Schizosaccharomyces pombe: one gene and its partners. The gene in region 2 interacts genetically with the main gene of each other region. Each region holds a gene or a part of one and is shown on either strand. Other genes may lie near its edges. The genes, in order: adn2, gsf2, adn3 and lkh1.

Region 1 (4,818 bases), on a different chromosome or scaffold from region 2:
CTATAAATGGGAATATCTTTTCGTTGATGTTGCAAATTACGGAAAAATCATAATTTTTGATCATACCAATTCTGTACGACAACAACATAAGAATTTTGGTTTATGGGGAAGCTTAAAAAATATTACATGGGGAAATTAGAATTTCCGAATGATAAACGCACGACGGAAAGGTATAGCTGTTAATTTCAACCGAAAAGGAAATCATTGAATTATTTCTCGATTTTAATGGTTTGATTAATGGTTTTTCGCAGAGAATTAATTTTCTAATTTACGAATTAATTTACAGGCGATGTTAATGATTTTTATCAGAATTAGCACACTTAGTTATGCAGTATTTGGATGTATATTGCAAAAAATAAAAAAATCGTCGACACTTTATTACTAATTAAGCGATCGAACCTCATGATTTGTTGTTTAATTAGTTAGTATAAAGAAGCGAATTTGTACGAGGGGCCTTTTCGCAGGGGCTGATTAATCGCCAATCTAATGTACTACCTAAATGTGTTTAGTTATAAAAAATATAAGAATGATTCAAAGCACATGAAATAATTTTGATTATTAGATATAAAGTACAAGATGTAGGCCGGTATTTATAACCGAGTACACTAATCCATATCCAACTAGCAATTAATTATATATTAAATTTTTATAATGACAAAACGCAACGCATTCAAAAAAGATGAAAAAATCTGGTATATAATTTCCAAATAAACAAATTAAAAAAGAAGAAAAACAAGGATAAAATACTTAAGTTTCGACAAAATTAAGCAGCAGTCGAGTCTTCATTATCCGGCAAATTAAACAATCCAAACCATAAATCGTCACCAGTACTAGTATCTTTTAAAAATTTGTCGAAGTCAAAATCATTTAGAAGAGCCGCATCGATGTCTGTTGAATTTCCAACATCCAATAATTGATTGTCTGAAGATTTAGTGGCAACTGTGGTAGACTCCGTAGGTGCAGAAGGAGTCGCGGAAGTATCAGGATTTGATTTTCCTGACTGATTTTGATTATCCAACTCAGAATCGGATTTGTGAACATTTGCTCCTTGCGATGGTTCCAAAGCAGGACCTACACTTGTTGCTTCATTTGTTGATGATTCGGGGTTGGTAGTGTTGACGGTCGGTGCTGGAGTTGGAGCATTTGAATTAGCAGAAGAAGGCTTTTGTTTTGATCGAACGTCCAATGGAGAACTGGCATTTGGAGTGGGTCGCGATGAATGAGTTTGTTGTAATTGCCAATTCCCCATAACGTCCATTCCATTGTCCGCATTATTTGTGTCAGAGGTAGATGAGTTTTCAATCAGATTAGAATAGTTTGATGGATGATCACCTGATGTACGTAAAGGAAGACCATTTTGTAACATAGGCATATTTGACTCATTGATGCCATTAAGATTTTCAGTAGTATTACTATTTTTTGTTGAGACCTTTACAGGAGATGTGGTGGCTTCTGTAGGAGTGTCAGTAGATTTAGGAGTAGTGCTTTTGGTTTTTGCAACACTAGATTCAGTAATAGTCTGAGAAAGCGGTCTATCAGGCGATGCCGATGTGTACCCTTTTCTTTCTTTTTCCTGACTAACTAACAGAAGCCTCTTTTTATTCTGTTGTTCTAGTAGCTTTAACTCCTCCATATAATTCTTGAGAGCTGGGTTTAGACGACTGGGGTTTGCGTTTCCGTTAAAATTATATAGCATATTTTGAGAGTAAGGAGAATTAGAGAATCCGTATTGGTTCATTTGATTTCCAGAAAATTGCCCAGTTGAAGGCTGTTGAGCAGGTTTAGGTTTGTCTAAAGATTTCTGTTGTTGAGGAAGGGTAGAAGAAGGTACTGCTCCTCCTTGTTTGAGATGTGGATTTCTGTTTGAAGCAAAATTTATCTCGTGAAGCAATGGTTGAGCAGAGTTTTGAACAACAGGGTATTGTCCTCCGTTAAGACCAGTGGTATCGTACAACGGATTCGACTGGGGAACGGAACCATTAGGAGTTGCCGGTAAACTAGGGCGAAATTGAGCATTAGATGGAGCACCTTCTGTTTTGGGTGAAGAAGGGATGGATCGAAAATCGGAAATTGGACCTTGCTGCTTAGGTGGATGTGTATCGTGAGTTGTAGGTTGAGAAGTCGTGTTTTGCATTTGTGGGGTAGAACCACTTTGTGGAGTTTTCTTTTGCTGGTGCTGCTTTTGTTGTTGTTGCACAGATTGTAGCTGCCTGTAGTGTAATTGTTTTAATTGTTGAAGTTGAGCAGCGGTCGGGGGAAACGTTTCACGGCTTTGATTATTTAGCATAGCTTGCCGCATTAAGTGCTGATTTCTATCGTTCAATCCACCTGCCCCTTGATGAAACTGAGATGAGTCAATCTGCTGACCCATTGCGTTGGCAGGATCATGGGGAAATGAGGCGTTTGCATAAGGGTGAGAAGTATTTCCAGTGTGTAGAGAGTTTTTTTGAATTTCTTGCAAATTTAAACGAGATTTCTTCCTAAGATTGCTAATATGAGACATATACGCCTTTGCCGGCTCAGATCCTTGACCCCGACGAGCATTGTAAATATCCCAAAAAACATTCCACCACTCGATTAAAAAACCACCAGCTGAATCGATAGGCAAAATAGGAGGTGGCGGCGGAGCAGAAGAAGAAGAAAAGGAATCTAAATTACCGTTATTTACATTCATGTTTTCATCCGAAGATTCATTATTACTTATACCTTCATGCTTTACAGCAACAGGAGACATTCTTTTGTGACGCTTAGCTAAGGAATTGGTTTCTTCTTGACTTCTGACGAGCGTTTGTACTTGTGCTTCACGGCCAAAAGCTCGGGCTGCCTCACAATAATCCTTCTTGATTAAATAATCATATATGTACGAATTCAGTAAGGATTGTGTGGTCCTATCGGCATTATTTACGTGCGGTTGTTTTTGATCTTTTTGTAAATCATGTTTCTGTCCTTGCTGGCTTGGCAATCCGACGCCGGACCTTAAACCTGGATCAGCCATAAACTAGAAATGTGCAGAAGTTAGGTGTTGCGAACGAGAATATGGATCTACAACGATGCACGCTGGCGATATATAATTTTAAAGATCTGCGCACGCTATACTACCGCAACATTTTGTATATCATATTTTCATTTTAGTTTTCTATCAATTACTGAAAATCATAAAATCATAAATGTTATGTTTGAATTTAGTTACAGAGTAAATCAAAACCCTTGAAGAGTAAAACTCTATAGAGGTTTCTTATTTTCCAAGGCAAGTCATGCTCTAAAAACATTTTTAATAATAGTTATTATGTATATATTCGGATTTGAATTATCTAAAATGGGCTATATTAAAATATGGTTCTAAGATGATATACTTTCAATGAATCAACCAGTGGTAATTTCAGATTTTATATATGCAAACTTACTAACTGAAAACTGTGGAATTAAGGGATAGGTGGGTTTAGAAAGTAAATGTAAATTGATATTTCTTCATCCGTAAAAACATCATAATGAATTAAGAATACTATTAGCCGCAGTTTTTTGTAAGAATGCTGTAATTATGTAGATAGTATCAATTATTCTTGTTTTATTTACCTTGCCTTGGAAAATATACATATCTACAGCTTTTTACATAAGTTAGCGATGTAAATACTAAGCACTGGAACTCATATTATCATTTTCTAAAGTTGTTAGAAATGCTTTTAGTAGTAAAGATTTTGGAATGTGTTCACTATTCGAAAACTAGTTGCAAATTGTGTTTTTCAGTAAATCAAGCAAGATGCTTAATTTTGGCACTACAAGTTTTTAGAAAGTACTTACATGAAGATTGGAAGCTTTGCGTAAATTTGTTTAGTTTCACATATTCCACATTTTAGTTTTCTATAATTCATTTTTTATCAAGTAGAAAATTTAGTTTCTCTCTTTCATTGCAAATGCTATAATCCGGCTTTAGAACTACTATCTACTGGATAATCCTTTATTATTGCCATGCTAGATTCCCTGTAGAATTATGGATTTTGATATTAATCAAAAATTAATTTCTTAAAGTACAAATATATTCGACGGGAGAAAGTTTATGAAATTTTGTATGCGGTTATACCTAATCAGTGATTATCTCGTTGTTTATATTTCAATTTTTGAGGCGACTAGAATAGACAATTCAGCCCAGAAAACCGTACATACAATTTTTAAGTAGAAAAATTTGTTAATAACTATACCCAAAAAAAATGTGATTACGCATCTTTAGCTAATGGCAAAATGCTTCTCAAGTGTTTTTGATGGTGGTAAAATCGAGATAGACTAGATATTAAAGCCGCTCGTTAAATATTATAAGACATTAATTGATACTAGTGTTTTTCCTCAAGCACAAACAAGGTCTGTATATAGTATACGGAATAGATATTTCTTACAATTTATTTATACTGTTTAAACGAATTTTAAATGGCTTCCATGAGAAGGGTAAATTTTTAGGGATTTTGCCTGTAATCAAAATGTTGTTCATATAAATTCTACTTTAAGTCCTGTTTATAGGAATGAGCTCATCATTCCTCGTTATTTGAACACCAAAGAAAAGTCCGATTTATTGGTATTTTGGTTGTGACAGAAACCCCTGCGACGATTGTCGATCCGTTTTATATATTTTCCACTCCCGTCCCTGCTATTCATTTTACGTTCTAATTCTGAAAACTGTCAATCAGAAATTGCAGTTATTATATATAGTAAACTGGAAATGGATAAACGAAAGGAATCGGAGAGTGCGACTAATGGACATTTAGTATGTTCGATTGCTAAAAAAACATGCACTAATATAAATAGGTTAAAAGAATTAGAATCCAAGAT
Region 2 (7,947 bases):
CCTCGGTAGCAGTAGTGACTTGAGTCTCAGTACCAGCAGTTCCAGTAGCACCAGTAGTAGGTTGAACCTCAGTAGCAGTAGTAGCTTGAGTCTCGGTACCAGCAGTTCCAGTAGCACCAGTAGTAGTTTGAACCTCAGTGGCAGTAGTAGCTTGAGTCTCAGTAGCAGTAGTAGCTTGGGTTTCAGTACCAGTAGTGACTTGAGTCTCAGTACCAGCAGTGCCAGTAGCACCAGTAGTAGGTTGAACCTCGGTAGCAGTAGTGACTTGAGTCTCAGTACCAGCAGTTCCAGTAGCACCAGTAGTAGGTTGAACCTCAGTAGCAGTAGTAGCTTGAGTCTCGGTACCAGCAGTTCCAGTAGCACCAGTAGTAGTTTGAACCTCAGTGGCAGTAGTAGCTTGAGTCTCAGTAGCAGTAGTAGCTTGGGTTTCAGTACCAGTAGTGACTTGAGTCTCAGTACCAGCAGTGCCAGTAGCACCAGTAGTAGGTTGAACCTCGGTAGCAGTAGTGAGTTGAGTCTCAGTACCAGCAGTTCCAGTAGCACCAGTAGTGGGAAGGACCTCAGAACCAGTAGTTGTAGGAGTATTAATGACAACCGTAGTGGTTCCAGTAGCAGTTCCAGTAGGAGTAACTGTGACAGTAGATGTCTCGGTTCCAGTGTAACCAGTTGTAACAGTAACAATGTCGGTTTCAGTCGCAGTCACTGTGGTAGGTGTTTGAATAACAACTGTAGTGGTTCCAGTGGAGGTTCCAGTAGGAGTAACTGTGACAGTAGATGTCTCGGTTCCAGTGTAACCAGTTGTAACAGTAACAATGTCGGTTTCAGTCGCAGTCACTGTGGTAGGTGTTTGAATAACAACTGTAGTGGTTCCAGTGGAGGTTCCAGTAGGAGTAACTGTGACAGTAGATGTCTCGGTTCCAGTGTAACCAGTTGTAACAGTAACAATGTCGGTTTCAGTCGCAGTCACTGTGGTAGGTGTTTGAATAACAACTGTAGTGGTTCCAGTGGAGGTTCCAGTAGGAGTAACTGTGACAGTAGATGTCTCGGTTCCAGTGTAACCAGTTGTAACAGTAACAATGTCGGTTTCAGTCGCAGTCACTGTGGTAGGTGTTTGAATAACAACTGTAGTGGTTCCAGTGGAGGTTCCAGTAGGAGTAACTGTGACAGTAGATGTCTCGGTTCCAGTGTAACCAGTTGTAACAGTAACAATGTCGGTTTCAGTCGCAGTCACTGTGGTAGGTGTTTGAATAACAACTGTAGTGGTTCCAGTGGAGGTTCCAGTAGGAGTAACTGTGACAGTAGATGTCTCAGTTCCAGTGTAACCAGTTGTAACAGTAACAATGTCGGTTTCAGTTGCAGTCACTGTGGTAGGCGTTTGAATAACAACTGTAGTGGTTCCGGTAGAGGTTCCAGTAGGAGTAACTGTGACAGTAGATGTCTCAGTTCCAGTGTAACCAGTTGTAACAGTAACAATGTCGGTTTCAGTTGCAGTCACTGTGGTAGGCGTTTGAATAACAACTGTAGTGGTTCCAGTGGTTCCAGTAGGAATAACTGTAACAGTAGAAGTCTCAGTACCAGTATAACCAGTTGTCACAGTAGTAACGGTGCCAGTAACAATGGTTGTAGGAATGATATACGAAGAGTTTCCATAAGGAATCTCAACTGTGTTGGTAACAACAGGGCCAGAGGAACCGGTCAATGTAGTTGTAAGAGATCCGGAATATCCAATGGTAGTAGTGGTAGTAGTAGCCGAAACACTGGGAGTTTCGATATAAACTGTAGTGGGACCAGTCTCACTTCCACTGTGAGTAACAATAGAAGTAAGCGTGGTTGATCCAGTCCAGCCAGTCGTAATAGTAGTATAACCATAATTAACACTAGTAGTGGTAGGGACATCAACAGTTTCAGTAACAATGCTATTGCTACCGCTACCAGTCAAAGTAGTAGTTACCGAACCAGAATATCCAACAGTAGTGGTGGTAGTGACAGTTGTGGGATAAGGAGTCTCCACATAAACTGTAGTAGGTCCAGTCTCATTACCACTGTGAGGAACAGTAGTGGTAAGAGTAGTGGATCCAGTATAACCAGTGGTAACAGTGGTGTAACCATAGTTAGTAGTAGTGGGAACCTCAACAGTATCAATAACAGTACCATTGCTAGGAGCTCCAGTCAAAGTAGTAGTGACGGATCCAGGATATCCAACAGTAGTGGTGGTAGTGACAGTTGTGGGATAAGGAGTCTCCACATAAACTGTAGTAGGTCCAGTCTCATTACCACTGTGAGGAACAGTAGTGGTAAGAGTAGTGGATCCAGTATAACCAGTGGTAATAGTGGTGTAACCATAGTTAGTAGTAGTGGGAACCTCAACAGTATCAATAACAGTACCATTGCTAGGAGCTCCAGTCAAAGTAGTAGTGACGGATCCAGGATATCCAACAGTAGTGGTGGTAGTGACAGTTGTGGGATAAGGAGTCTCCACATAAACTGTAGTAGGTCCAGTCTCATTACCACTGTGAGGAACAGTAGTGGTAAGAGTAGTGGATCCAGTATAACCAGTGGTAATAGTGGTGTAACCATAGTTAGTAGTAGTGGGAATCTCAACAGTATCAATAACAGTACCATTGCTAGGAGCTCCAGTCAAAGTAGTAGTGACGGATCCAGGATATCCAACAGTAGTGGTGGTAGTGACAGTTGTGGGATAAGGAGTCTCCACATAAACTGTAGTAGGTCCAGTCTCATTACCACTGTGAGGAACAGTAGTGGTAAGAGTAGTGGATCCAGTATAACCAGTGGTAACAGTGGTGTAACCATAGTTAGTAGTAGTGGGAACCTCAACAGTATCAATAACAGTACCATTGCTAGGAGCTCCAGTCAAAGTAGTAGTGACGGATCCAGGATATCCAACAGTAGTGGTGGTAGTGACAGTTGTGGGATAAGGAGTCTCCACATAAACTGTAGTAGGTCCAGTCTCATTACCACTGTGAGGAACAGTAGTGGTAAGAGTAGTGGATCCAGTATAACCAGTGGTAACAGTGGTGTAACCATAGTTAGTAGTAGTGGGAACCTCAACAGTATCAATAACAGTACCATTGCTAGGAGCTCCAGTCAAAGTAGTAGTGACGGATCCAGGATATCCAACAGTAGTGGTGGTAGTGACAGTTGTGGGATAAGGAGTCTCCACATAAACTGTAGTAGGTCCAGTCTCATTACCACTGTGAGGAACAGTAGTGGTAAGAGTAGTGGATCCAGTATAACCAGTGGTAATAGTGGTGTAACCATAGTTAGTAGTAGTGGGAACCTCAACAGTATCAATAACAGTACCATTGCTAGGAGTTCCAGTCAAGGTAGTAGTGACGGATCCAGGATATCCAACAGTAGTTGTTGTGGTTGTGGTAGGGACTGTAACAATAAGAATTGTTGTTGGAGGGGGACAACTAGTACTTGTTGAACCAGATGTGGTTACAATTAAAACCGTTGCTGGGTTGCATGAGGTGCTAGTCGTATCAGCTACAAAAGTTGAGCTCGCTTCAACAGCATTTGAAACTTGTGAACCTGAAGTGGTAGTCGAATCAGGAAGAAAGGTAGATGGGCTTGCTTGAATTGCATAAGAAGCTTCTTTCCCTGAGGTAAAAGTGCTAATAGCAGTCATGGAAGCGTCGTTGCTAACGGGACTAGCAGTAATGTAGTTAGCATCATTTCCATTTTTTACTGTGAAGGTGCTAGTAAACATGCTAGGATCAACAGCAGCGTCTCTGCCAAGTAAGGTTGGCATATCGTCAACTAGGAAATTTGGATCCGCAAGCTCGGTCTTTGGAAGTGAAATATCGTGAGGCACTTCATTTTGTGATGCAGAGGAAAGGTAATCTTCAGGTTCCATTCCCTTTTGCAAAATCCTGACATTTCCAGAAGGTAGACCAGAAGTCAAGGAGGGAAGAAGAGCAGCCGTGAAAAGTAATGCCCGAGCAGATGTGGATAAAAACCTTCTAACAGACATTGTTGATATATTCAAAAACGGGTAAGTGAATTAGAAAAAAACAAAATTATTAAGATAATTTAACCAAACGAATAAAAAAATTAAATATTATCAAAAACAAAATTAAATCCAATGCTTGACGATTGGTGTGCAGAGCGCGTTTATTGATAATATGATAGAAATTCAATTAGAAAAATAGTGAATCCCAAATGAATAAAGCTCGTAGTTTCAACAGAGAATGAAGAAAAGAGGGTTTAAATGAATGCAAAATTGCGAAAAGATTAATGAAAGAAATAATATATATAAATAAAAAATAACTGGATGAAAGGAGATTCGCAAGCTGTATTACCAAACCAACCCAAACACGAAATTACCCAGTGTTTATTTTGTGTAAATGTAGGACAACTTAAAACCCAATTTCAACCCGAAATCCTAGACGATAGAATGGGGGATGTAAAGAAAAAAGGGGAGAATATTAAAAAATAAATGCTAGCCAGATTTATTTTAAATTATTCAAATGAATGTAAAATACCCACTTGTAATTCAAAAGAATGTAGAATATGTACAAGAGCAGATTTGTTTCTCAAAAAAAAAACAAAATTGGATGCTGGCGAAAAGAATGAGTGAAGATATTGTTATCACAGATTCGTGCAGCGAAGAGAGATCAAGTCGCTTTCCCAAAATAAAGATGGAAGGAAGGAAACAAATGATGATACAACAAAAAAAAGAAAGTTCCAATAACCAAACTCTAGCAACCTCAACAAAAAGAGAGAGACAGATGGTGTATATGGAATAGGTAATCCTTTTTTTTTGCAATGTTCGAATCTTTCTCGATGCTTTGCTTTTATAGAAGAAAGTCAACGATCTTAATCTCGTTAAGAATGTTTTGGATGTTCAATTGATGACTGATTGACGAACACTCGACCACTCGCCTTCAATGTAGGAGCGAAATAACTTTCTTAAGTAGATGCGGCCATATTTATAAATAACTACACCCAAACCAATCTGTGTGAAATTTTAGCAATGAATATTTACGGAATTTTTCCTTTGCGACTTTTTCTATACCCCTCTCTCTGTACCCCGATGACCCTTTTCTCAAATGTTCCCCGTTTTTGCAAGTTTTTCTTTTTTTAGAGAAACATTTTGAATTCGAATTTAAAAAATCGTTGTCACCTATGTGGAAGACCCCGCGATAACATAAAACCTCTTCGCAAATTCTAATTTCGGCTAGGGAATAATCTCTATCTCGGGAACATGGAGGTAAGGATCCACTTTTGCATTCTGTGCTGGTTCCTAAGAATATCGAGGTCGAGCGAAGAAGAAAATTTCGATATATGGAATAACGAGACCGAGTATGCTAAAGAAAGAGAAGAAAAGAAGGCTGATTACAGGAGTAGTGTAGAGGATGTAGCAAGCGCAATTTTAATTGCAATTAAGAAGCTAGTGAAACAAGAGATTAAGATTTAATTTGTGGAGATGACAGGAGAGAAATGAAAAAGTGCGACTATGAAGAATGATGAGTAAGTGAGTGGAAGTGTAGTAGAGATGGGGTTGTGGTAGCGAGAAAGGCGGTGTTTAGAAGGATGTAGTAGTAGTTCATGCAATGTCAATTCATTAGTTATGCAACGTCTAAGTCGTTAGATTTTCAATGTTTGCTTAGTGATCAAAGCATTTATAATTGAAATTTTTTAGTTCAATTTTAAGGTGGCAGCGTTCAGTTGCTATTTTTTCGCGTCTATTTGAATTGCGACGATTGTAAACGAAAAATAACCTTTCAATATTATGGATGGATGTCCATTCGCGCATTGGAAAGTTTCTACTGATTTGAATGACTTTTTACGCGTCCTTTTCCAATTTCTTTTCCTACAATTTTTGGCAATTGTTTTTGTTTTTTTTGTTATCACCACTATTGTTTCATCTTCTCCCTCCAACTAGCGTTCTCCTCGGATAAAAATACTTGCATTTACTTCTATATGTCCAATTCATAAAATTACAAGTATGTCAAACCTCTGCCGGCTTATAGTCCAGCTTGCCTTGGAGGCAGAATGCATGGCGGCGCTCACCAGGTGTTGTCAATCTGGTCCCGTAGAATGGTGGTAATTTTTGCAACTCTCATTACTCTACGCTAATTATATATACTGCATTCTTAAGTAATATAGTGAATCGGAATGAGTTTTTTTTTTTTTTTTTTTTTTTTTAAGCAAATTGGATCGGAAAAACAAGGACAAGAAATGAACGAAAGCCTTGATAATTACGAGAAAAATTACATAAAATATATGGAAATCTTTTTAGAATGAAATGAATTCTTTTGCTTCTTTTCCAAACGTCAAAGCCAACGTACTATATCCTTTTTGCTACTGTGTACATGCTACGCTCTACTTCACTAAACAGTCAGGTCAGTATGTACTATTTTCGGTCAGTGTGTACTTTTTGCTCTGGTTGTGATTAAAGCTAGTTTGGCTTAGCCATCATGGATGGTAAAGCCGGCAATGCCTAGGCACATGTTGAAATGGTTATTTTTATAGAACTAGCTATTTTGGATGAAAGTTTGAGAAGGAAACCCGAGAATATAGACTCACGAATAAAGAAACACTCATTAATTATTCGTTTAAAAGATATGAGAAGAAGTTAAAACAAGAACCTTTCTATTTTCATCCACCATTCACACAACAAATACTTTTTGTTTGTAAGCAGCTTCTTGTGTTTCTCGTCTATTTCTGTAAATAACCAACATCGGATAGCACACCCACTTTACTTTCTATTCTTAGTAGCCGTCGTTATTTATTTTTAGCAGTAACCCGCTCCTGCCGTACTAAACGGCATTCATAAACGGAATTAGTGCAGTGTAGTGTAGTGCATTCAGTGATCAAAGGGGATCTTATTTTCTTCGATTGTCTTCTAAGTTTCTCTATTTTTAGATGGACATTTTAAAAAAAGTCTTCTTCGTGTATTGTAGAATACCTTACCCCCAAAAATAAAAAAGAATAAAAAAAGAGAATCCTGAATCACACACACTCTCTCTCTTTCAAACATTTTTTTTTTCTGTGGAATTGTCAATTTATGTGCTGCGAAACTTTTCGCTAATTTCAACTTTACGACTCGTAAAATGCTTCGTTAAGCAAAAGGGGTAGGCTTATATACTATTAGTAAATAACCATCGGTCCGACAAGGCAAGAGGGCAATTTCGATTATGCATCCAATTTTCATAAACTGTAGAAGGGAAATTAGATAAAAAAGAGGTGGCTGAATCAGATGCTTTTCTTTTCTTTTTTTTTAATTCATTATTTGTTTTCACACAGTAAAGTTTTATGTGTACATACGAATTCACCAATATTCATACACTCGGGTTCCCATGGAAAACAAGGCAATCAAATTACGATAAAAAAATATATATATGTAAAGAAAAGAGCAATCGTTAATTGTTGTTGTTGTTGTTTTTTTTCGAAGAGAAGTCGTATTTGTTTCTTTTTTTTCTTAGACATTTTATTGTTCCTTACCTTTATTTGTTCTTCCATGCTTTCTTTATTTACATAGGGTCTCCGTTACTTGATGTTCTTTACCTCTTCCTCGTGCTGAAATTGAATGGAATACGTCATGATTTCGGTAAATCAACCCTTTAAATTTTCGGTAATCCTTGACCAATGTTTGTTTCTCAAATACAAAAACACTAAAGCTTATACGTCATGACATGATGTTATCTGTTCGTTGAGTGGAAGGATGATGTCAAACACATTGTCCAATTGCGGCTTTTAAATTTCGCTTCCTTGTTTATTTATGGCATCATATGAAGAAGGAGAACATTGTGACTCCATTCCGCTTCGTTATTCACCTTTTCAAAACAAGAGGTTTCTACGATTAGCGAGGTCGTCGTTAAGCATAATTAAAGAGAAGAAGATATACAAGATGGTAATTTGATTCTTTATTTCTATTTATATTTTATTTTTTACTTTGATACTTGTGTCCCACTTGTTAAT
Region 3 (6,245 bases), 1.4 Mb from region 2:
GATTACTTATCATAGTTAATAAAATTGAATGCTATTTTTTAAGGCCTCATTAAAATATGTTTATAAACAATGTGTTAAAAAACGCATATTTCTGTAAGATCTGAAAGTTTGTTCGGATTGATGCTTAATTTTTCAATTTCGCATGTTGTAGTTTAATTAATTAAACTTAGGCAATCAGCATATTTCCTTAAATTCCAGCTGTCTCTCCCTGCTGTAAATTGCGATACTGCCAATGATCAATATTAAAACCCCTCGCGATTTTCTTTTGTTTCATAGTCCTGCTTATTTCATCTTCACCCTGCAAATCATTATCCAGAAAAAAAGGTTGTGTAATTGATTAATGTTGGATTGCTTTTACTGACCGTGAAATCATATCATGCAAGCAGTATTGTTATGCTAACTCCTTTGGTATTCAAACATTGTTTACAGAAATCGTTAGTTCCAAAATGTTTTAGCTTATGCAATGGTGCTACTTAATTAAGTAATAACTATTTCTTCAGAACACGTAGATAAAAATTCCTGCTAGTATAATGATGAATCATATTTATTATATACGCTTGAAAGCAGTTCTTATTTATTTACACATTATCTTATAAATAACGAAAATCAACAATATGGTAAAAATTCGATGGGTGTAGTAGATTGGCAGGAAAAGCTTCATGTAAAATACACCTATCGGGCTGGATGGCACGATTAATGATGAGAATTATAAAAAAAAAACCGGTAATTGTAGCAATCCATGCAAATTTAAACAGACACAAATAAAGAAGAAATATTCATCCATCCAAGCTAATTTACACAAACAACGTCTCCACAGGTAGCGTTGAAGAAAAGTAGGAAAGGAAATCGGCACCTAATAATAAACAGATGCCGAATCTGCACCAGCATCATTTAGGAAACTTTCAAAGTCAAAATCATTTAACATTTCAACATTACTGTCGGTTTTAGAAGAAAAGCCGAATGCATTTCCAGCACTATCGTTAAACAAAGCATCATCTTCGAGTTTAGAAATTGGCTTTGCCGCCGTAGGTTCATTCTTCGCATTTGAATCCAAAGCGGATGTATCGCCGCCACTTTTCTCTTTGCTTTTAGAGGCATCCACCATAGACGATGAATTAACGCTGTTAGATTGCATTTGTAGAGACTGAGTAGTATCTTGTGAAATGGAATTAGTTCCTCCTGTCGGTTCTGGAGCTCTAGATGCATTAGGGCTTGTTTTTGCCCCTGGAGAAGCATGTGCAGAGGGAGAATCTTTCATTATCTCAGAGAAAGTCGATCGTTCGGTTGTGCGTATAGTATTGTCGGCGACACCCATTGTAGCTATTCCACTTTTTCCTGGTTGCGCATGTAAGGAAGAAAACGAAGAAGAATCCTTCGCACCAGGTGCATTCAATGAGCTAGTATCAAATGACTGCGGCATCATCCAAGATGTTCTACTTTGTGGAAATGCAGGATTTGTCAATTCTTCCTTATTCAATGGCATTCCGGTCACTTCTTTATTTTGAGTTAGTCCATCTGGTTTATTAGATACAGGCTGATTGAGCTGTTGTTGCTGAGAAACAAAAGGTGACATTGAGCGACTTAACTTTTCTGCTTGTGGAGCAGAAGGTGAGAACTGTTGATGTGGCGAATATGATAAGCCCTCGCCATTTCGATTTGTCGGTTGGATAGTCCCGGATTTAGTTGAATCAGCAGCTGGAGTATTGGCCTGTGCTGGGGAATTTGCGCTAACCGGTACGTTTGGCTGAATCATAGGAGCAGTTTGATTAGGTATCATTGACATATGCTCCTTACCTACATCCACACTATAGCGACTATTCATATAGGACTGTGGAGATAGTGAACCAGTTCCTTGTTCTTGTCGTGCCATCATCAAACGCTTCTTGTTTTGTTCCTCCAAAAGCATAAGTTGCATATGATAGTCGCTAAGAGCATGATTACCTTGCTGCATATTAGCTGGATCCATTGACATTGAAAATTCATTCGGATTAGGTCCTGATTGTTGAGGTGGCTGATTACCAGAGCTAAGTGTTTGAGTATTACGCTGTATAGCCATTTCTCTAGATTTGGCAATCTCCATAGCTTTCTGCTGGCTTAACATGTAGGACATCATGTTGTTTTGATCCTGCATTTGAGCATGAGGACGGTAGTAATTCTGCATATAAGGTGATTGAGGTGTCATCCGAGAAGTAGAAGGGTTCATATACCTCGATCCATTTGCTTGAGTAGGATGCCGAGGAGCGTATGACGGCAAAGTGGGAGCTTCAACAGAACGTGTTGGAGTAGCGCGTGAATGGTCATCTGCGGAAGGCTTCATACTTACAGGTAATGGTGATTGTAAAGGCATACCACCTACTTGTTTAACGGGTATAGGTGTATTACCTGGCACTTTGAGCCCAGCCTGATAAGGAAGGTACTGTGATGGAATCTGCCCTACAGGTGGATGTTGCGAAGGAGGTGAAGAGGTAGGAAGCTTTTGATGGCGAACGTCCCCGAAATTCCTCATAACCAATCCATTTGGCTGGAGACCTTCAGCAGAAGTAGATTTGTTCCATTGCTGTTTTTGAAGATCGGCGCCACTACCAACACCTCGAAAATCCACGTACTGCAATTGTTGATCTTTGTTCGATTTCATGTTAATAGGAGCAGGCTCCGACATTTGTTTGCTTTGTCGTTGGAGATGCTGTTGTTGAGCCTTTAATTGATGTATCTGGGCCGGAGTTGGAGGATAAAAGCCGTTTCTAGCAGCAGTAGGGTTTGGTCCCATTCCTGCAGGATAAGTACGAGGATCAGTATCACCAAAAGAAGAATAAGAAGGGCCCATCATTGCAGTGTTCGGTATATAATTAGGTGGGACAGTAATCGAAGGTGCAGGTGTGTACGGGTTAAAGTTGGAAGATTGAACAGGGTGGTTCTTTTGAAGTCTATCTGCTGATGCAGGGAAAGAGTTATGCGGATTTTGCATAGCATGAGAAGGTGGGATAGAAGTCTTTGCACCTTCAATGGATGTAGAAGGAGTGCCCTTTGGTATGGTTGGGTTATTCATCACTTGTCCCTGTAAAACAGAAGGATTTAAAGGAAGAGAAGGATTGGGGACAACAGCGGAACGAGAAAAAGTGGAGGAAGGAACAGGTTGAGATGCTTGGAGGTTAGACATGGGACGGGCCATTTGTCTTTGAGTAGAAGGATCATATAATTGAATAGGCGTGCTATTTACACGACTTACTCGCGCACTAAATACATCCCAAAAAATATTAAACCACTCCACCAAGAAACCTTCGGGAACATTTATAGAAACTTCAGAAGGGGGAAGGGATGATGATCCAAATGACTGGCGTTTATCTAATGAAATGTCCTCGTTAGCATGTACGACATTGGTTTCTTCCTTTTTGTTGGGAGACGGAGCTGATGACATGTGGTTGTAAAGTCGATCACCAGAAATCGATTCAGAAATTTTGCTAGGAGAGGCTAAAGATGAATTCTTTGGGGGGAAAGGTGAAGGTGCGTTATTGTTGGAAGGTGAAAAGGCAGTAGATGAAGAAGATTTTGGAATTTGAATTTTTGACTCTCGTAAAAAAGCCTGTGCGGCTTCCTCAAAGTTGTGCTTAACAAAATAGTCGTATATATAATAATCCAGAGACTCGTTTGGATGCGAATTACCCAGTGAAGAAGACGCAGGAGCCGAGGATTCGTATTGAGAAGCTTTTGCAGAATGAGAGGATGGCTCTATGTCCATGAAATCAGCCATTGTATTTTTCTTGACGCTAAATAAATGTCATCAATTTTATCTAAAATGGCGATATGAAATCGAAAAAGCAAACTGGGAATATGGAGAACGAAACGAATGTGGAACACTATAAAGATGTAAAGGAAAGTGCAAAGATTTAAAACAAAAAGCTAAGAGATTTAAGAAAACAAAGATGAATTAACAGCGTATAACACCAAAAAAAAAGAAAAACCAAAGAGGAAAAGTGCAATGAAAAACCGCAGGTAAGGATTGATATAAAAATAATTATAGGAAATAAGACCAGATATTTTTTGAGGAAAAGGTGTATTTTGGGAATGGATGCTTAAAATTATGGTTGATTAGAATGCGCGCTATTCAAATGGACTTTTGGACCTGGCTCCTTTCTTTGCACAAGCAAGATATATATGCTTTAACAGATGAAAAGATAGGTCATGGAAGGATTAAGAATTCAGTATTGTCGTTAAAATTCGAGTGCTCTTATGCTCAAACGATAGCGCTGCTGTTGTCTTTAATGTAGTTCAAATTGAATGCACAGTGTAGCAGTCAGAGAGGCTCGATGCTTTTTAAAAACAAAATTTTCTTTCTCGTTCCTTGAATCTTCTCAAATATCGATATATTAAAGGCTTAGGCAAAAAAGTAGTAATAAAGCCGTAAATAGTCGGTTTTGAGTGTGTGCCTCCAAACCAAATCCGAATACTGAGATATGTTTAAACTTCGTTATCACAGCTACTGAACTAGTCGATATACGTTAGATATCAGCTATGAAGATTAAATAATTTAATATTCTGTATATTGCAAAACGAAAGGCAAAAGACTAAGTCACCTTCCGAAAGTAAACAGCTTGCTACAGATAATCTTAAGTAGCTCATTTGAATTTAATCGACCAAGCTTCACGTTCCGCTTTTACTATCATATCCCTTTATACCTTTGTTAGAATCTAGCTCGCATCGTTCGATTATGATCAACTATTTTCTCGCATTAGTTAAGGATCGTTGGATACTTATTCATGACTTCTAGCTATTTAAAAACTTGCTAAGCAAGAGGAGCTAGTTGCCTATAGATAGTAATCAAGAAATTTCTTCATTACCAACTTGGAATCTCGATTACTGCTTCCATTTATTAGATCCGTCTGATAAATTACCCTTCTAAATAAATAACATTGCTATGTTTTACTTCATTTACTCGCCTGACATATTTGGCCTAAATATAATCGTAAACAGAATAAAGGCAAGCATGCTAAATCATAATACCCGATGACATTTCAATAAATATTCTTTTATAGAGGGTACATTGAAAATGATAATAATGAGAAAATTCAGCTTATGGTGGTGGTCAGACAATTTTCTTATAAAAAATGTGTTTTCGGCTTCCAAAAAATTGCCCTATCTCAAGAACTTTTTTTGTAGAAGGTTAATGTTGATAAATGGGTATACCCCTAAATCGTCGTCATTGACTCTCTTTCCTCTCCAAACATCACCGTCATATAGAAAAGCGAACAGAATTCTGTTTTCACTGATTTTTTAGATAAATAAGGTTTTAATGCTTTTCTTGTCGATATTGAGTTTTATTCTCCCTAGTCACTCTTCTTCAGAAACTAAATTTTGTTTTGTATAAGCTTATACGCTTCCTTGACTTTTTAGATAGTTATTCATGTATATTTAGTTGTTGCATTATTAATTAGCAACTTAATTTCCGATCTTTAGTTCGTTATCAATATCGCTTGACCCTTTTTTTTCCTGGAAAGGGAATTTCTGTTTCTATATTCAGCTATGGCACTTGAATTAACTGAGCACCAATTAAACAAGTTGCGCGACTTTCTGGATGAGATTTTATTAGACGTGTCTCAAAAATACCAAAAGAAGTACGTTTTTCAATTCGTTTTGCCTAGTCTTCTTCACTCTTTTTATTTGCTAACATTGGTATCGTTAGATTCCATCCCGGTGGCTATCAAAAATTAGAGGAATTAGCATTTGATTTGGAACCATACTTTCAGGTGGTATCTTCTATTCCTTTGGAAAAGCATACTTTTCTCGTAACCAATTTCACTCTACGAGGTATCGACTTTTTTGTCGACACTATTGTTGGATTTCCGGCCTCCCCAGAGACAACTTTTAAGGTATTTTCCCTACTGGATTCTCTTTGCTTAAGGCTCATACAATCGGGAAATCTTTCTACTACAGATACTATACGGTTAAAAAGTCTGATGGAGAATTGCCGTATGGTTGTTATTTCAAAATTGAGCGACGTTCAAGGATACGAAATGGATTGTGCCTCTATTTTTGAGAAGAGTTTGAACAGCATAGATTTTTAATGCATTTGTTCTCCCCGTCATTATTTCTCCGTTTACTGACTAATTTTCTATAACTTTTGGTAGCCATTTGTGACTTCGATGGTATTTTAAAACAATTGCAACGTCAAAAAAAAGAACCATCAACTCGGAAAGATTATAATATTTTTGTACCCGCTCTTCTTTTTAATCACATTCATCTTGCCGTAA
Region 4 (6,641 bases), on a different chromosome or scaffold from region 2:
ACACTGCGTTTTATAGATGTTACTATGTATAGCAAGATTAATTAACATGTTATTGTTATTTGTTATTATGTTTTTAATACTATGTATTTATAGCATCTGTAATGTCTGCGTTTTTCAACTGCCAAAGAGCGCATTTTCTACAAGTTTCGGTTAATGTTGCAAATAACCGATTAGACTTTCATGTCATGACACTTGATTTCACTTGTGCTGACGCTTTTTTATGAACGGCATATCGCTGTTCAGCTGCTTTACCGACATGTAATGGCCAAATCTCGAGCTTGACACTTTGTAAAAAGTCTCAATAATAATTCCCCATCCACAACTGACATACATAATTGATAGTACTTACTAGCCTTTACCCTTGCCAGCCAGACAGCTTCCACTGTACTGAGGTCAGGGATCATGACATAGACTGATTGCAAATTACGAACAAGACCGTCAATCTGCACTTTAGCATCTCCTAAAATAATAATCGTTAAAGCCGACTAGCTATTAGGGATGACGGGAGGAGCAAAAAAATAGCCTGAAAAAAGAAAAAGAAAAGAAAGCGTATTTAAAGAAAGGTTAAAATTTTCTTTGTTCTTTCAATAAGTAAGCAGTTTACTCCTGGTCCAGAAGTGCGACGGACCTTGCGTGCCGGTAAGGAAGTTGCAAAAAAAAAAAAAAAGGAAAAAAAGAACCGAGATAAAGTTGACTTTCAACTTCCGTCTGCAGTAACCGGATTTCCCAAAAATTTCAACGGGTAATTCAATTATGCAAGGGGATTGTCATTCTTTTTTTTACATTTTTGAGTTTCACGACACATTAGTCCCTTAATTGCAGCTACAACCATGCCTTGTTGCCTATTTTTTTCCTTTGCTTAATTACAATTTCTCACCCCATTTGAAGTCATGTTGATTGAATTTTTCACATCCCGTTTTCAAGCTCTAACATCAGTCATTGTAGATGATTGATTGTAGAAAATTATATTTGTTTCCTTTTCGCGACCATTAAATGATTATTCAATAGTTGATGAATTATTGCCTTTGTTGTTTTGTTACTCATCATGGCAATTTTATCGTATTATTTGTTACATAGATTATTGTCATCCACTAAATTTTTTGATGGCCAAGCGTCGCTGTTTGGACGAAATATTCGATTACCGAGGACGGATGGCCATAATCAAGACTAGTTTGGTAAGAGAATTTGGCAGATGGGCTGGACGACATTTGTTGAAAGTGTGAGAAACGCTTCTGAAAAGGCATGTTTTCTATATTTCATTTCTATTCTGGTAAAGAATTGTGCGGAATACTATACCATGGACAAATGGGGCGGGCGACAAGGCAGCTACAGTATAAGCGGGCATATAGCATTCATTGTATAATACAGTATATAGTACATGGTAGGTAGAGTTGGATAGAGATGGTGAGAATGACAGTTGCATTATTTATGCGTAAAACTATATGTAAATTTTATAACTATTTATGTAAACATGCGTTTATATATGTGTATGAGTGTGCATGCTTGTGTACATTTGTGTGTGTGTGTATGTGTGGTGTGTATTGATGTTTGAATGGTATGATGACAATGATAAGCCATTTCTTACGAAAACTCCTTAAGTGAATATGGTTGAGTTGAATGGAGCGGCATTTGAATGGTAAATGATTAGTGATCTAAATTAATGAAAATTCATTCAGCGCCTCTGCCTCTACGGCCATGGCGGTTTTCGTAGATCTCAGCCCTTCAGAGTAGCAAGCGTCTCTTACGCTATAGTTGGGTGACGGCTAGGTACGTTGCATACTGCGCACATGGTGTTGTGGAATGTGTATACTTTTTCATAGGAAGGAGGTGCCAAACGCAACGCGCCTGGATGGTGATTGTTGGGTTGTTCCCTCGTCCGGCCAATTTTTTCCAGCTATTTTATTTTAAGGATAGAATAACAATGATGTTGTTCCGGTCTCACAAACATGATTATCTCATGCAAATTTCACCTTTTCTAAGTGGCTTTACCAAAGAAAACGCAACTTATTATTATCCAAACTCTTGCTAATTCCTTTTTACTTTCTCCACATCCCTCGAATTGGCTTGAGGCTTTTTCTTTTATCCTTTCTATCCTCAATTACTAGTTTTCTTAGCAGTTGTATTATTAGGACATTGCTTTGTTGTTTTACCCCCCCCCCATTGGAATTACATTCTGTGGGATTGAAGGAAAGAAAAAGAAAATTGCTTATTAAGAGTCGTATATACTTCATTCTTCAATTTACTACACTCACTACTTGCTTTTCTCCATCTACGATCTACCATTTTGTTAGGTAGACTTTCGTACTACAGCTACATCGCTTGTCGTCGACTTTGTGTGCTTTTGAAAACTGCCCTGGTAATTGCCGATTCTTTTGGGGGTTATTTATACTTTTGTTTTATCCAAATTACTAATCCGCCTGATTTGGACATTGATCAATTTTGGTAGTAGCGCAATCGCACCCCCTCAAACACAAAAACCTCATCATTGTCTCATGGTACAATATTGCCTTGGAACATCATTACTTTAAAGCAATACGATTGATACAAAGGTTTCCGCTAGTTGTTGATTGAAGGTTTGGTGTTTATCGTTTTTTCGTGTTTGATTTGCCTTTACAGACCCTCCGTGTTCGGCATACTTATTCTCCGGTATTGTAGATATTTATTTCTCTCCGATACCTTTTTGCATTTGCTGTTTCTCTTTACTGTTGCACCCTACATTTGATTGAGAAAGGGGTTTAGTGGTTGTCGTCAATTGTCTTTATTCTGAGAAAACGGCTTTCTTCTCCCTGATATAAGAAACCATTTGGTTTGATAAATATATTTCAAGTTCACTTTCTCACTGTTTTCCGCTTCTTTGCTGATTTATCGTTTGATCGACGGCCTTGCAATTTTACAACGTCGAGAATTTTAACTTCTTTCTTCGTGATTGCATTCAAATTTTGAAACTCTTTCGAAGTAGGTGTACCAGTTAACTTGATTGCTCATTCTTCCTCCCATTCTCTGCTTCTTGATGAACTAGCTGTTCTGGTCCAACACCAATTGTCGAATGCTTGTCAGTTCAGTTCTATTGCTTTAATTCGTCCATTTTTTATTTTTATTTTTTAAATTCCGCCTTTCTATTTTGTTCTTACCCTTCGACGAGTCGAAAAAAAAGGTTTTTTATTGCTTTTGTCGCTTGGTGACTTCGAACAAGGAAACTTTTCCCCTTATTATTGTTTGAGAAACACTTATTTTCGGTGGTTGGTATCTCTTTTCATCATTTTTGCTTCTGGTTTTGCATAATTCTAAAAGATACTTATCCCTTTTTTCAGGTTTCGACGTCTTCTACCTCTTCACTTTACCAATTTGCTCGCATGACTTAGACGGAATCTTTTTATTGTAAAATGCATTCCTTAAAACGTCGTAGAAATCATGCGCCTGATTGGCAGGACTTTTATAAAAATGGTGTTCCACAAGAAGTCATTGTTATAGAGGACTCAGCTTCTCCACGGCTTACCCCTAATTTACCGCCTCCTTTTTCTGTTCATCAATTACAATCCTTCGTACCTCCGCAACCTCCCTCATCATCATCACCCTCTACCACTGGCACTGTGGCAGTCCCTATCAATGGTGCGAATGCTGTTTATCCATCAACTAACTCGGTATCTCTTCCTCAATCCTATGATCCATGGTTGGATGCTAATGGCGTCGTTCCATTACCGCATGATGTCGCCAGCCATCCTTCATATATGGTTCAGTCTCCTACATCGTATCATGCGTGTTCAAATAATCAATCGCCATTTCCCCATTCACATCATCCTCCCCTTCATAATCCACTACCTGTTTCATGTCAACCTGTTTTACGGCCGCCTCCTGTCCCTCAAGTTCCTTCACACTGGTACCCGGTTTCGCTTCCCTCTCCTAATTTACCTCACCAACCAATTTCTAAACCTCCAGTGATCCCTAATTTACCAAAGCTCCAAGTCCATCCGAACAGGCTTCCACATCCCATCCATAATCATCCTTACTCGTCTCCAACCTCTTATCCTCCCCCACTATGTCCTGCAACGTATTGTCCTTCTAACCCTCCTCAGCTAGCTCCGGCTACTGCTATCGCTCCTTCCTCGCAATCGTCTCAACATAAAAGTGTAAATTATTCCGTCACCCCAAGTTCCATTAACAATCATACCGCTGTACCATTATCTCCAACGCTGGCCGTATGGCTTCCGATGACTCAACCAACTTTCCAACCTCCTTCTGCAAACGTTTATCAACCGGCTTCTAATGCCAATCAAGTTATCACTCCTGTATCTATTTCCGATTATCGACCTCCGAAGAAAAGGAAGCGAGCTGCATGGCCCCCATATAAAAAAGTCGACCGCGTAAATGTTCCTGTTGTGCATGATACTACCGCTTTTGATCCATCAACTTTTGATGATGATGACGGTCATTACAAGGTTGTACCTAACTCCAAATTTGCCAACCGTTATACAGTTGTTCGTTTGCTTGGGCACGGTACTTTTGGCAAAGTTATCCAGTGTTACGATCAAAGTACAGGTAGACATTGTGCTATCAAGGTGACTCGAGCAATTCCAAAGTACAGAGAAGCTAGTCTCATTGAATTAAGAGTTTTACAAACTATAGCTCATAGTGATCCGACAAATGAAAATAAGTGCATTCAGTTACGCGATTATTTCGATTACCGCAAGCACATCTGCATTGTGACTGATCTTTTTGGCTGGAGTGTCTTTGATTTTTTAAAGAATAACAACTACATTCCTTTCCCTTTGAAGCATATTCAGATGCTATCCCAACAACTTTTTAAAAGTGTTGCGTTTCTTCACTCTTTGGGACTAGTACATACCGATCTTAAACCCGAAAATGTTCTTCTGGTATCTAATGCCTCAAGAACTATTCGATTACCTTATCGGAATTATTCACAGAAAGTCCTTAATAGTTGTGAAATCCGGCTTATCGACTTTGGTAGTGCAACATTTGAAGATGAATACCATTCCAGTGTAGTGAGTACTCGTCATTATCGTGCTCCAGAGATTATTTTAGGGTTGGGTTGGTCTTATCCTTGCGATGTTTGGAGTATTGGATGTATTTTAGTTGAGTTATTCACGGGACAAGCCTTGTTTCAAACCCATGAAGATAGTGAGCATCTGTGCATGATGGAAAAAATCCTGGGTCCCTTTGATAGGAATATGATTTCGCGTTCCTCTCGTACATCGCAACGTTTTTTTAAATCTGACGGAAAAGTCCGTTATCCTTTGTCAAATACGCCTAAAAAAAGCATTAATTATCTTCAATCTCTGCAAACGCTAGAGCAAATATTTGCAGTATCATCTCCAGAAGTGGCTTTGCTGCTTGATTTATTGAAAAAAGTATTCGTTTACGATCCTAAGCGGCGAATAACTGCAAAAGAGGCCCTTTGGCATCCCTTTTTCACCCAACCAATTTCTTCAAATTTGTGATGGATAAACTTAGAGATTTATAATTTACTTCATGTTTTTCAATAATTTTCACTCTTTCTAATTTACAAATCTACGGAAGTCTCGTATTTCTGGTTTGTGTTACGCTTTAGCTGATGTTTATTCGTTTGTTATTATTCAGTTTCTTAGACGAAAACTCGCATGTTCTACAATTACTTTAATTGCATAGAGTACTTGGTTATCCGATATAAATTAAAACTCAAAATTGTCCTCTTTTTAGATTATTCCATAAAGGTTTGATTAAGTCGTCAATTACACTCGTAAATTTTGGTCCTTGGGTTAAATAGTAGTTACTCAGTGAAATAAAAGAAAAAAAGATCATTAATGGTTTTCAGGACTATTTTAATAGATACGGATTACCTTGACAATTTTTTTGAAGTCTGAAGTATTTTGTTATGAACATAATTGTATAATGAAGAAAAGGTTTGCCCATTTCATTAAACAACAGAGATCACTTGCCTGAGACCCAATTTATATAATATGAGACAATAGCTCAAGTAGTTAGAACTTTAAAGGATCCGACTCCTCTTTTAAATTTTCCTCATTAAATAGATAAGCCAGAGGCTTTCCAAAATAACGAAACAATGAGATATCCGATATTTTAAGAGTCATTCCATCAAACGCCAAAGCTATATGTAAGTCTTCTGTCGAAATATCAATGTCTGGTAATTTGGGATATCGTTGGCTAAAATGAGTCAAAATAACGTTTTTTGTACCAGCTTTTTTGGCCACTTCTAAAGCTTCAGAGTAAGTACTGTGTTGCTTTTTTATTGCAATTTCGTGCATAGAGTCTTCCAAAGTAGCTTCGTGAATTAATAAAGTTGAGTCTTTGGCAATGTTAGCAAAATCCTCAGAAGGTCGAGTATCTCCAGAGTATGCGATCTTCCAACCACTGGAATTAGTAATCTCCATGCAATATGAATACGGGCAGTGTATGGCAGGAACCGTTCGAAAAGATACTAAATCAAATTCTTTAAATAAAGAAGACAACCTAGAGGATTCCAAAGCAGACGGCTTCCTGTCAGTACGTAAAGCACTATTGGAAATAAATACGATGTTGGATAATGGTAGATAATCAATCCTTGAGTATTCTAGTAGCCAAAATTCAAATTGTGGAGGTGCTGTTATAAACAACTTTGATCTGCCATCTGAGTACTTCGTCCAAGC

The links.
Region 1: of gsf2 (region 2) and adn2, changing one suppresses a phenotype caused by changing the other (phenotypic suppression), as found in Schizosaccharomyces pombe (one study listed by BioGRID).
Region 3: of gsf2 (region 2) and adn3, changing one suppresses a phenotype caused by changing the other (phenotypic suppression), as found in Schizosaccharomyces pombe (one study listed by BioGRID).
Region 4: of gsf2 (region 2) and lkh1, changing one suppresses a phenotype caused by changing the other (phenotypic suppression), as found in Schizosaccharomyces pombe (one study listed by BioGRID).

What each region holds. Positions count from the first base shown.
Region 1 is NC_003423.3:4,399,853-4,404,670, forward strand, and holds adn2 (transcription factor), read right to left. Parts: upstream 3,018-4,818; 5' UTR 2,996-3,017; coding exon 764-2,995; 3' UTR 531-763; downstream 1-530. Other genes in the region: TIM23 translocase complex subunit Tim21, read left to right, coding at 1-139; U5 snRNP complex subunit Spf38, read left to right, coding at 4,709-4,753, 4,795-4,818. UniProt on the Schizosaccharomyces pombe protein: Probable transcriptional regulator involved in cell adhesion.
Region 2 is NC_003421.2:959,979-967,925, forward strand, and holds the start of gsf2 (protein Gsf2), read right to left. Parts: upstream 6,035-7,947; 5' UTR 3,995-6,034; coding exon 1-3,994. UniProt on the Schizosaccharomyces pombe protein: Galactose-specific adhesion protein essential for non-sexual flocculation and filamentous growth. Required for adhesion and filamentous growth through recognition of galactose residues on cell surface glycoconjugates. Induces flocculation when overexpressed.
Region 3 is NC_003421.2:2,342,870-2,349,114, reverse strand, and holds adn3 (transcription factor Adn3), read right to left. Parts: upstream 4,401-6,245; 5' UTR 3,749-4,400; coding exon 854-3,748; 3' UTR 517-853; downstream 1-516. Other genes in the region: transcription factor TFIIH complex subunit Tfb6, read left to right, coding at 5,518-5,609, 5,678-6,059. UniProt on the Schizosaccharomyces pombe protein: Probable transcriptional regulator involved in cell adhesion.
Region 4 is NC_003424.3:655,575-662,215, reverse strand, and holds lkh1 (dual-specificity), read left to right. Parts: upstream 1-2,038; 5' UTR 2,039-3,383; coding exon 3,384-5,456; 3' UTR 5,457-5,975; downstream 5,976-6,641. Other genes in the region: 3' tRNA-processing endonuclease tRNAse Z L2 Trz1, read right to left, coding at 5,976-6,641. UniProt on the Schizosaccharomyces pombe protein: Protein kinase that may act as a negative regulator of filamentous growth and flocculation. Appears to have a role in normal cell wall and septum formation and in cell separation.